Rattus norvegicus: one gene and its partners. The protein of the gene in region 3 interacts with the protein of the main gene of each other region in a biochemical or structural test. Links are inferred from orthologs where the notes say so. Each region holds a gene or a part of one and is shown on either strand. Other genes may lie near its edges. The genes, in order: Cdc25a, Cdc25b and Btrc.

What was found.
Region 1: of the proteins of Btrc (region 3) and Cdc25a, one has a biochemical effect on the other in vitro, tested with the Homo sapiens proteins (3 studies listed by BioGRID and IntAct, with this or other methods). The link is inferred for Rattus norvegicus from reciprocal best matches to the Homo sapiens genes BTRC and CDC25A.
Region 2: the proteins of Btrc (region 3) and Cdc25b form a complex in vitro, tested with the Homo sapiens proteins (2 studies listed by BioGRID, with this or other methods). The link is inferred for Rattus norvegicus from reciprocal best matches to the Homo sapiens genes BTRC and CDC25B.

Annotation. Positions count from the first base shown.
Region 1 is NC_086026.1:118,741,967-118,745,714, reverse strand, and holds the start of Cdc25a (M-phase inducer phosphatase 1), read right to left. Parts: upstream 2,668-3,748; 5' UTR 2,425-2,667; coding exon 2,255-2,424; intron 1,966-2,254; exon of another isoform or gene 1,878-1,965; intron 1,276-1,877; coding exon 1,199-1,275; intron 201-1,198; coding exon 158-200; intron 1-157. UniProt on the Homo sapiens protein: Tyrosine protein phosphatase which functions as a dosage-dependent inducer of mitotic progression. Directly dephosphorylates CDK1 and stimulates its kinase activity. Also dephosphorylates CDK2 in complex with cyclin-E, in vitro.
Region 2 is NC_086021.1:138,863,060-138,866,707, reverse strand, and holds part of Cdc25b (M-phase inducer phosphatase 2), read right to left. Parts: intron 2,474-3,648; coding exon 2,432-2,473; intron 2,266-2,431; coding exon 2,229-2,265; intron 2,015-2,228; coding exon 1,892-2,014; coding exon of another isoform or gene 1,847-1,891; intron 1,801-1,846; coding exon 1,678-1,800; intron 1,048-1,677; coding exon 916-1,047; intron 528-915; coding exon 447-527; intron 361-446; coding exon 187-360; intron 1-186. UniProt on the Homo sapiens protein: Tyrosine protein phosphatase which functions as a dosage-dependent inducer of mitotic progression. Directly dephosphorylates CDK1 and stimulates its kinase activity.
Region 3 is NC_086019.1:254,295,321-254,298,968, reverse strand, and holds part of Btrc (F-box/WD repeat-containing protein 1A), read right to left. Parts: intron 2,543-3,648; coding exon 2,311-2,542; intron 1-2,310. UniProt on the Homo sapiens protein: Substrate recognition component of a SCF (SKP1-CUL1-F-box protein) E3 ubiquitin-protein ligase complex which mediates the ubiquitination and subsequent proteasomal degradation of target proteins. Recognizes and binds to phosphorylated target proteins.

The DNA of each region.
Region 1 (3,748 bases), on a different chromosome or scaffold from region 3:
TGAGACAGGGTTTTACTAAATTGCCAAGACAGGCCTTGAGTTTTTGATCCTTTTGCCTTGACTTCCTGAGTAGCTGAGACTACAGGCCTGTGCCACTAGGCTGACGTAAGGAAAACTTTCCTACTAAGTAGAAAAATTTAAAGTAGTGAATACATACTTTTCTTTACTGTCCAAGGGCCCAGGAGAATCTAGACAGAAACCTTTGAGAAATAAAAACAAAATTCTTAGAAAATAATATACATTCTGGTGTTAAGCAACATTTTCTTAGTATGTCCATGGACCCTCTTCTGTTTGCAAATACCATCAGAGAAACAAGATTGAAGAGGCCAGCTAGTATCAAGATTGACTTTTCAGATAGTATTGACCCCTAAATCTTTTTGTGGAGCTCCCCCCCCCCAAATATACTTCACTTAGGGGTATGAAAAATACAACCAGCTAAGTTCAGTTCCAAGAGGCCCATCTGGTGTATACTGTGAAATTGTATCTTAAAAAAAAACAGTCTTGGAAAGATGGTTCAGAAGAGCACAACTGCTCTCTCATAGAGGACCTGAGTTCAATTCCCAGCAACCACACAGGCTAATGCCCGTTAACTCGGCTCCAGCAAATGACACCCTCTCCTGGCCTTCAAGGAAAGTACACACCGTGTGCACACAGGAGAAGCATGCAAGCCAACATCCACACATAGAAAAGCACACACTTAAAGACATGGAAGACTCCGCACTCTTTTCTCTCCATAAACTGTCTCAGGAGCTCCCTCCTTCCCTCTGAAGGAAGGGTGTTTGTCACTCCACATCATAATTTCTATGTATACTGTTACCAATTAAATTCCTAGGCAAGACACTTCCAGAATGGCTGACTCCAGATGAATGAATGGTGAAGGCTGAACAAATGCCTGGATTGGTCAGGGGGATGGTGGCCCATGCCTTTAACCACAGCACTCAAGAGGCAAGAGGCCAATGTGATCTACATGGTGAGGCCCTGTCTCAAAATAAATAGATTTAATTAAACTTTTAAAAATAAGGGGCTCAGTGGTTAATAGCACTTGGTGCTCCTATAGAGGGGACAAATTCAGTTCCCAGCAACCATATCAGGCAGCTCACAATGTCCTGTAACTCCAGCCTCAGAGCTCTGATGCCTTTCGATCTAAACACCTACCTACACACATGAGCACATACATACACATAAGTAATGACAATACCTGAATCAGTCGATTCAGAGGAGCCCATTCTCTGTAGACTGCTGCTATTTCTCACGTCCATTGGTTTCTCATAGTCACTGAAACCAAGAGAAATACCTCCACATGAGCTATTTTTAGTATTTGACTAAAAGGACACATACAGGAGATGGGTTATGAAGTAGCCAGGCTGCCACAAACCATCTTGAGAGACCAAGCCAAGGACACCCCACACTCACACTTGGCCACCCAGAATACCCCAGTTGGCATTTAAACAAAGAAAGGAGTGAGTGGCTTGGCCTTGGACCACATTGTAAGACATGCCTGTGGCAAAGGCTGGGTTGTTTCCTTAAATGAGAGCCTCAGTCTGAGGTACCATGCTAGGAATAAGGGCAAAGGTGACTAGGCCAGGAGTCCCAGCTTTTCAGGGTTTGGAAAAGTCGAAAGGCACGTTTAGGAGGCCAGATGCCCAACACCGAAGGAAAAGCAACTTCTCTAAAAGCATTTTTGTTAGTGGTAGTGGTGTAGAGCTACTAAGTCCACCAAGATTTCCAATGTAGAAAAGTTAGTTTAAAAAGTGATAGCTGTAAAAAGGTAGATGGGTAGATATAAGAAACGTGCGGGCCAAGCGGCTGCATAGATTTTGCACAAATGCAAGAAAAGAAAATGCCATGTCCCTTTGTTGAGAAGGAACAAAGCTTACAGGAAACTAAGATCCGACGCGGGTGGTTCAGCAAAGAGTGGTAGTGAAGGCCATTTTCCCCCCGTAAGGGTAGATTCCAAAGACTTTTCTGGAATAGAGACAGAGTAGATTGAAATCTGAAAGGGGTGAACAAGACAGGATGCCCAGCAGGCTTCCCTGACCTCCGGTCTGGCTCGGGCTGAGGATAGCCCTGGACTATCCGAACGGCCTCTCCCGCCCAACATTCCGCCCGGGGGGAGGGTGCACATGGCGGGCCCTGGCCAGGCCATCCCGGATCCGGGCACCAGAACCAGGGGGACAGACTCTGCTTCCTGCTAGGTCATCCCGAGGGCCGACCAGAGGCCAGCGGCCTGGGGCATCGCTCGCCAGTCTCTCACCTGCCCAGCCCTTCCAGCTGGTCCATGGTGACCGTCAGGTTGGTGACAGGGGACAGTCCGCCAGCAGCTGACGCGCCAAACAGCACCTTCCCCGTGGGCTGCGGCGCAGGAGTGGGGCTGCAAGTGAAGAGCAGGCGGCGGCGGTGGGGGGGCTCCGGGCCCAGTTCCATGGCGCCGCCGGGCCTGCCCGGACTCCCGCTCCGTCTTCCTCCGCCTCCGCTGCGCCGGGCCCCGCCCCGCTGGCACCGGCTTCAGCCGCGTGCCACGCCGCCAGCGCCCGCGGGTCAAACACAAACACGACCCCGCGGTTCAGAGACGCGGCCGCCACGGGCAGCGGCGCGGACGGGCGAGCGTCGGGGACTCGGCAGGCGCCAGGCACAAGCACCGGTGCTTCTCTCTCTGTGTCCCGCGAGGCCCGTAGGCGGGCGGGCGCCTGCAACCTCAAGATTAAATCCAAACAAACTCCGCGGAGCCAGAGTCTTGAGGCCACCGACCGGACTAACTCTCCTCACTTTTTCCTTCCTCTTCGTTCGGTACCCGGCACAGAGGAAAGGAACCTCCACTTCCCTCACCACCAAAGTGGCCTTAGCGTTAATTGCTGCACACTCAGGATAGCCGCCGCCCCGCCCCTTCCCTAGTTGGCGCCAAACGGAACTCACCAATCAGGAAGCATACTTCTCCTCGCTCCCGAATGACAGCTGAGCTGGACCAATGAGAAGGAAAGGAGGAAGCATCTCGCGGGCCTCCTCGTGGTCACTCCCTCTCTCCATGGGGGCGAGGCCTGAAGAGTTGGGAGGTGGCAGAAATGAGAAAGGAGCAGAGAAGTCAATGAAACTCCCTGTGAGGGCGCTAGTCCGGACCAAAAGGCCCCCCCTATCTCGCTCCTTTCCAGTTGCATGCTGGGTAGTGTAGTTCCCATAGAGTGTGCTAGGCCGGTCACACACCTAGTCTGAGCTGCTGAGCCTAGTGCTGTGTGCACTTTTAGGAGACATAGAGACTAGGGAAGGCCATCTGGACTTGGCTTTGGTTCTTCCTCTGTGTAGTACAGTACCGTGGATCCCTCTTTTCCTTCACAGTCCTTCAGGCTCTGATTTTGAATTTCTTTCTTTCTTTTTTCTTTTTTGAGACAGGGTTTCTCTGTATAGCCCTAGCTTTGAACTCAGAGATCCATCTGCCCCTGTCTCTTGAGTGCTGAAATTAAAGGCATGTGCCACCATTCCTGTTCCAGGCTCTGATTAAATTAAATTAATTTTTGAAATAGAATTTCTTCTATAGCCCAGGCTGAAACAGGAGTAGTAGTTGAGAGCTTTACATCATCATGATCCACAGATAGCAGGCAGACAGAAGAGAGAGGAGAGGGGAGGGGAGGGGAGGGGAGGGGAGGGGAGGGGAGGGGAGGGGAGGGGAGGGGAGGGGAGGGGAGGGGAGAGGAGAGGAGAGGAGAGGAGAGGAGAGGAGAGGAGAGGAGAGGAGAGGAGAGAAGAGAAGAGAACT
Region 2 (3,648 bases), on a different chromosome or scaffold from region 3:
AGGCCAGGGTGAGGGAAGAGACTGCCTCTCAGTGCTGTTTGGTTGAGACCTCCTTCCCCTGCCACCTAAACAACCAGCTGCACACTACCCACTGCTGCACCTTTGCCCAGGAGAGGACACCCAGAGCATCTGCAGCCCAAACACACCCCAGGTGAGCAGCCCAGCCCCCCAGAGGGCGGAACTAACGGGTTCTTCAAGCTGCTGCTCTTCCAGGGGTGTCCCACTCTTCCTGCGCTTGCTCAGGACAGGCACGTCCCTGTCGTGGGGCCGCTCTAGCCTCTTGAGGATGGGCCGGATCACACTGCACGGCATGGATGGAGAGCGGAAAAGCCGCTGGCACTTGCTGAACATGATGAGATCCTGGCAAAGGTAACATGGCAGGAGTCAGAGCCTGGTCCCTCCACCCCATGTCCCCTTAGCTCCGAGGGGGCACTACTGGGCATCACCTGTTCCTCTTCCTTATCCAGCTTTTTGACCAGTGGAGCACTAATGAGGTTCTCCATGCCTGCGGGGACCATATCATCATCCTGAGGTCAAAGCAGTAAGGACAGAATCACAAACTCAAGCATGGAGTAAATGGTGGAGAGTCTTCTCTTGCTTACTCCCAAAGAAACACTGGTTGTCCCCAGCCCTGCTGACTATGGCAGCAACACTGCCCCACCCCACCCCCAACACACACACAAAAAGAGCTGTACAAACACCAGCTGCTGCTGCCGCTGGGCTTGCCCTGACCCAGAAGTACCTTCATCATGCCTAGCCTCCATTCCTCTGCAGCACCAGCCCACCTGGTCTTCTGATTGGCCAATATCAGTTCCCTCAAATTCTTCTGACATTGGGTGAGGTTGGAGTCTGGCTGATAGTCTGGACTATCCAAGCAGGGAGCAAGTAGGGGCCTTGTGGACCAAGGCTGTTTACCTTTAAATCACTCTCTAGGATGTCCACAAATCCGTCATCTTCTTCACAAGCCCTTTCGACAGGAGTCAAGGAGGAAGACTGTGCCACAGGGCTCGCCTCCTCCACGTCCATCTTCCCGTCAGTGGTAAGACACTGTCCAAATGGCAAGCACAGAACACTCAGGTGGGGACCTGTCACTCCTTCTGAGGAAAAGTCTGCAGTACCCAGGCGGTTTGTGGGGAAGGAGTCTTCTCCTACTGTCTCTTTAAAAAGTGTTTTAGCTTTTATTTATTTATATTTTTATTTTTTATATTATAAATATACAAACATATTTATATATAAATAAAATATTTTATAGCTTTTATATTTACTTATTTGACTCTTTTCAAGACAGGGTTTCTCTGTGTAGCCCTGGCTGTCCTAGAACTCACTCTGTAGACCAAGCTAGCCTTGAACTCAGAAATTCCCTTGTTTCTGCCTCCCAAGTGAAGGGATTAAAGGCATACACAACCACACCCAGGTATTTTTTTAATTTTTAACTTTATTTTATGTGTATGGGTATTCTGCCTGCACATATGTCTGTGTGCCATTTGCAACCAGTGACCACAGAAGCCAGAAGTGGGTATTAGGTCATCCGGGACTGGAATTATAGAGGGTCATGAGGTGGGTTGGGAGCTGGGAATTGAACCTCTGGAAGAGCAACCAGTGCCTTTAACCACTGAGCCATGTCTGCAGCCACCACCTTTCCCCAGAGCTGTTCCTTGGCCCTATTCTCCTATGTACCATCAAGTCAGGGGCTGAGCTGGGCCTCTGGGTAAAGGCCTCTCTGCGGCTGGCCCACTCTGCCAAAGCTCGGGCAGAGCTGGAATGAGGGAGCTTCTGTGGCATCTTGAAGATATATCCATCCTGTGGGCAAGATTGGAGAGGAGCTATCAGGACAAACCCAGTGTACCCTTCTCTCCCTGGAGATCCTCCATCCCGGTCTCTGGAAGCGCACGTTCTCTTTGTCCTCCCCAGGACTACTGGCAGCTCTGTAGCCTGCTTCATCTTTCTCCCAGCTGTCCAGTGCTTGGGAGTTGGTGATGTTCTGTAGCACAGGACTATGTCCCAGCAGCCTCACCTAGGGAACCAGACAGGGCAGTGATTACTAAAGGCTGCATTCCAGGTATCACCCAGGATACCTTCTGCTACCTTGCTCCGTCCGACTCTTCAGCCCCCCCCCCCCCCAGATGAAATCCCATCTCCCCCAACCAGTCCGGGAATGCCTGGCTAGTTCAAACACATCTCTCAGGTACCCCCAATAAGCTCCCTGTCAGGCCTCAGAAGATACTCACTGGCAAAGACCGGAAGCGTTTTATGGTAAATTGCTCACTGCAAAACAAAACAAAACAAAACAAAAACAAAAACAAAAAAAAAACAGTTCAGAGCTGTGAAATCAGAGGCCAGTGACTCAAAGCAGGCAGGATTCCCTTGCACCCATGACATCCACACCACACAAGACAGCAGGAGGTGGGTAAGGAAGGAAGGGAAGACTCACTTTTGAATGACCCGACTGGCTGCCTGAATGGCCTGTTCAAACCTAGGAGAGAGCAGAAATGACCCATTTTCCCAGTAGCCCAACATCTACCCCAAGCCTCAGGCCCAAGCCTGGCTCATGCCCATAGGGCCAGCAACAAGGGCAAGGATGAGGGCCTGTGGTCAGGCTCTAGGAGGGGAGAGTAGAAAATAGTGCACTGTTGGTGGGACCAGGGACCAAGGAGGAAGGGTTTGAGGCAGCCTGGAATTGTAAAGGCTGCTGTGAATGAAAAGCAGGCCCAGAGAAAGGCAGTGATGGAGACAGCTGGGGCAGGTCACAGGGTCATTAAGACATCACCAAGGCAACAGTCTCGCCAGCCTGCACACACAAGCACAGGCCTTCCACCTGTATGCAAATTACATTACTGGGGCCATATGGCCACCATGAAAGGCATTGATCCATCCCAGACAACAGGCTGAAGGTACCCTGTAATATAGGTGACCCTGGGGGTGGATGCCAGCAATGCTGGGTTTCCCTTTCTGCTAGCCACTGGCCTGGCTCCCTGGACAGGGGCTGCTTTGGTGATTTTTCTGGATCAGCCCAGCAGACCCTTTAGTGACAAGTATACAGGGTTACATTCTCTCCTCCCTCCTATGGAATTTTCTAAGACCCAACCTCTGTTCCACCCCCTCCTTCTGTCTTAGAAGAGGCCAGCCAGCAAGGAATTCCAACAGATGCTCCATTTGAGGCTGAAGCGTCAACTTCTACATACAGGCCCTGCCTTCCAATGTTGCTGGAGCACCTGTCATGTGGAGCTTAACACACACACACACACACACACACACACACACACACACACACACACACGTACACCCCAGCTTCTTTCTGAGAAGCTGTAAATAGTCAAAAGTAAGTGCAGACTAACTGGAGAGGCACTTAGTGTCCAAGTGACCCTCAGAGAGGCCTGTGTGCAATCAACCTGGCATCATTTGTAGCTGGGCCTCAGGGGTGAGGGATCTATCTGTGTTGTCGCTAAAAAACAACGTACACTCCTCCCATCCCCACCCAACTCTCGATTTCCTGTTTGTGAATAAACCTTGAGACCAGCACAGTCTGATCAAAGACATCAGGGGGAAATAGTAACCCCCGCCCTAAACCAAAAGCTGTGACTGGCAATGCCCAGCTGTTCCTCCTAATGACTGACAGCTACTCCACAGCTGGATGGGAACAGGTGTGCT
Region 3 (3,648 bases):
ATAAACATTTAATTTTAAAAGGTAATTTATTTTAGGTTCAGAAAAACAAAGCTTTAAGAAATTGCTGCCAAGGAATGAGAGAGGCAGCACCACACAGTTCTAAGGCAGCTCCTGCTAGTGCAGTGTGCTGGAGGAGAGGCTGTCAGCATGGACCAGAGCCTTAGAAGTGAGGTTGCTGGTGGGGTGCCCAGCTGCAATCACAGGAGGGGTGGGGCAGGGGGAACGCTGACATCTGAGGTCGGTTTAAGTCACAAAGTAGGAGCTTATCTCAAAAGGAGAAGAAACTCTCTAAAAGGTTCCTGCTCTAGGGCAGCAGGTGGGGGTTAGCGGCACCATGCTTGTGTGACGCCCTGGGTTCAATTCCCAATACCAAACCAAAATACCCAGAAACATAAAAAAAAAAACAAAAAAACCATGAAACCAAAATAAACACAAACAAAACAAAATCACAGCACACCGAAACTCTTCATAGTCTTTAATACAACAATTCTACTTTGGGTGTTTTTCTTCTGAGACTGTCTATAAATTAATGCATAAGAATGTCTACCATGGTATAATTTATACAGAGAAAAATTAACAAAGGGTAAAGAATGTATTCACACTATACAACCTACTATTGGACTAAATCATTTAAAATAACCCACACTTAGGAAAATAGGCTTTAACATATTAAGAAAAGTTTTTAAAAAACAGGCTCCAGATCTATAGGGAAATAAACACACTGATCGGAACTTTATAAGAAAAACAAAGAACTGTGTGGTGGAGTTCTGGGCAACTGTATTCTATATTCTGTGTGTGTGTGTGTGTGTGTGTGTGTGTGTGTGTGTGTGTGTGTGTATTCACATGTGTGAATGGAGGTCAGTGAGCCCCATGGGTCTGCCTACGTCTGCCTCCCTAGGGCTGGGGCTACAAACGTACCCCTCTTTCAGCTCTCTTCTGGAGACTGGGGATCAAACTCAGGAACTTAGCTTCCACACTGACTATTACTGGCTGAGCCACCATCCATATGCACATGTATATGTATTTATACATAGCTGTATTCTGATGTGTCGACGATGACTAACTATTCCCTAAGGAAAGTGTAGCCCATGTAAACCTCCTATTTCCATGCCTGGCAGGGTTCTGGATCACTGTTAAAGAAGGGAGGGGACACTCTGGAGACGCTTACTTAGTGACGGAGTATTTATCTAGTTTGCACAGAATTCGGGGTTCACTTCTTGAAGATTGTGACCTTTCTTCTAAAATATTAAAAAATGCTTTTTAAAAATTAATTCCTACAATAGCATTTTTTTAATGGATGTGGTAGAAGCTAATGCATGAGGACGTTGGTTTTTGAGCCAGCTTGAGCTAGGTAGAGAGACTGTCTCTTAAACAACTCCAACAACAAAATAAACACTCATTTTGTGTGTGTGTGTGTGTGTGTGTGTGTGTGTGTGTGTGTGTGTGTGTGTGTGGTTTTTTTTTGTTGCTAAAATTCACATCCAAATTCAAGTACATGAAAAGAACTGAAAATAAAGCATATAAGTCATGCTTCAAATCTGGTAACAGTTAAGGAAAACACAAAACTAGACTTGGAACTGCATATAGGTTAAACAAAAAAGGCTGAGCAGAGGGTCAGGAGACAAAGTAAAACGGAATTTAATTATGCAGTTTGACTTTTCTTTTATTTTGATGAAGGTATAATTAATGACTTGGTCTGTAACTATCAAAGCAAACAAGAATTTCTAAATTTATTTCATGTGCATTGGTGTTTTGCTTGCACATATGTTTGTATAATAAGGTTGCTGGATCCTCTGAAGCTGGACTTACCGATAGCTGTGAGTTACTATGTGGGTGCTGGGAATTGAACTCAGGTCCTTGAGAAGAGCAACCAGTGCTCTTAACCACTGAGCCATCTCTCCAGCCTCCAAACAAAAATTTTAAAAAGAGAAATGTAGCTAGGAGTGTTACACTTGTAGTCTCAGCAATTGATTTCTTTTTTTCTTTCTTGCCCCACCCCTACCCCCAAAGGGTTTCTCTGTGTAACAGAGTCATGGCTGTCCTGGATTCACTTTGTAGACCAGGCTGGCCTGGAACTCACAAAGATCTACCTGCCTCTACCTCCCAAATGTTGAGATTAAAGGCGTGTGCCACCATGCTTGATATCCCAGCATGTCAGTGCTAAGACAGGACTGCTGAATTTGAGGCAGGTCTTGGCTGCATTGTGAATCTAGGTTATGGAGAAGCAGGGCTGGGGAGAATAAGGTTGAAGATCCAGCTCCATTACTGCTATGGCGAATGAACTCAGACTTTACAAGGATGTGCACATACCTGGCAGTGCAGTTATGAAATCCCTCTGCAGCATAGGCTTTAGATAGGAGTTGATGTGCCCATGCTGGTAATGACACATTTGAGATATAAGGTGTTCTACAAATTCCACTTGATCAGACTCTGACCACTGCTCAAAGTACTTGACACACAGCTCCTTTTCCTTCTCATAGCTTGCTGAGAGTTTCCGCTGCTTGGGCACAATCATGCTGGAGGTGCCATTGGCAAGTTTTGTCTGTTGGAGGGAGGGGATTGAAAGAATCATTTAACAGCAAGCATTGAAAATGAGGGAAAGAGTCTAAATCTCCTTGTCTGGTATGTAACGTGTATCTTTGCAACTGAATTATTCTTGTTGGATTTATTGCAATTGAGTATTTTGAACCATGATCATGTGGAAAGCCTTACAAATACCAAAGTGGAGGTCAATCAGGTATACCGTGGGAAGACCAAGCATCCATTTCTACAAGTTTAATCTACGGGGATACACAGATTAAAAACTGAGAGCCAGATGCATTTAATCATTATTAGCAAGCAAAAAGTTTAATTTGTTCTTTATCGTATGTAGCAGTTATTGGACAGGTAGATAATTAGTTGTTCACACTAACTTTTTTTTTTAAGTCAAATAAGTTTTATACACAAAGAAAGACCAATGAATATTTACAGACCTCACAAAAGTCTAATAACTCAGGCTGGAGAGATGGATCAGTGGTTAAGAGCACTGGCTGCTCTTTCACAGGTACTGGGTTCAATTCCCAACAACCACATGGTGGCTCACAACCATCTGTAATGGGATATGATGCCCTCTTCTGGTGTGTCTGAAGACAGCAACAGTATACTCATACACATTAAATAAATAAATAAAAATTTAAAAAAAAAGTCTAATAACTTATAAGCTCAAGTTAACCTTTTCTTTCAAAAAAAATTCCACCTTCCTGGTTATCAAAAAATTAAAGGCTATACTTTTTAGTAACTGAGTCATTTAATAGATATTTATTGAGTATCTACAATGTATTCAACACTGTTCTAGGTGCCAGGACTACAACAATGAACAAACCCAGCAGAATGCTGTCAGGAACATATACTCTGCCTGAAGAGGTACATATCACTATAATATAAACAGTGCTGCTGAGAAAAGCAGAAAAAATACTAGAAAAGGACTGGAGAAATGAGCTAGCAGGGAAAGAAAGCCCCAACACTAAGCCTGATGACCAGAGATTAATCCTTGGAGTCCACACGGTGGAAGGAGTGAGCCAACTCCTAGAAGGTGTCCTCTGACCTCCACATATGCTCTGCGGAGAGAGAAAGTGTGTGTGTGTGTGTGTGTGTGTGTGTGTGTGTGTG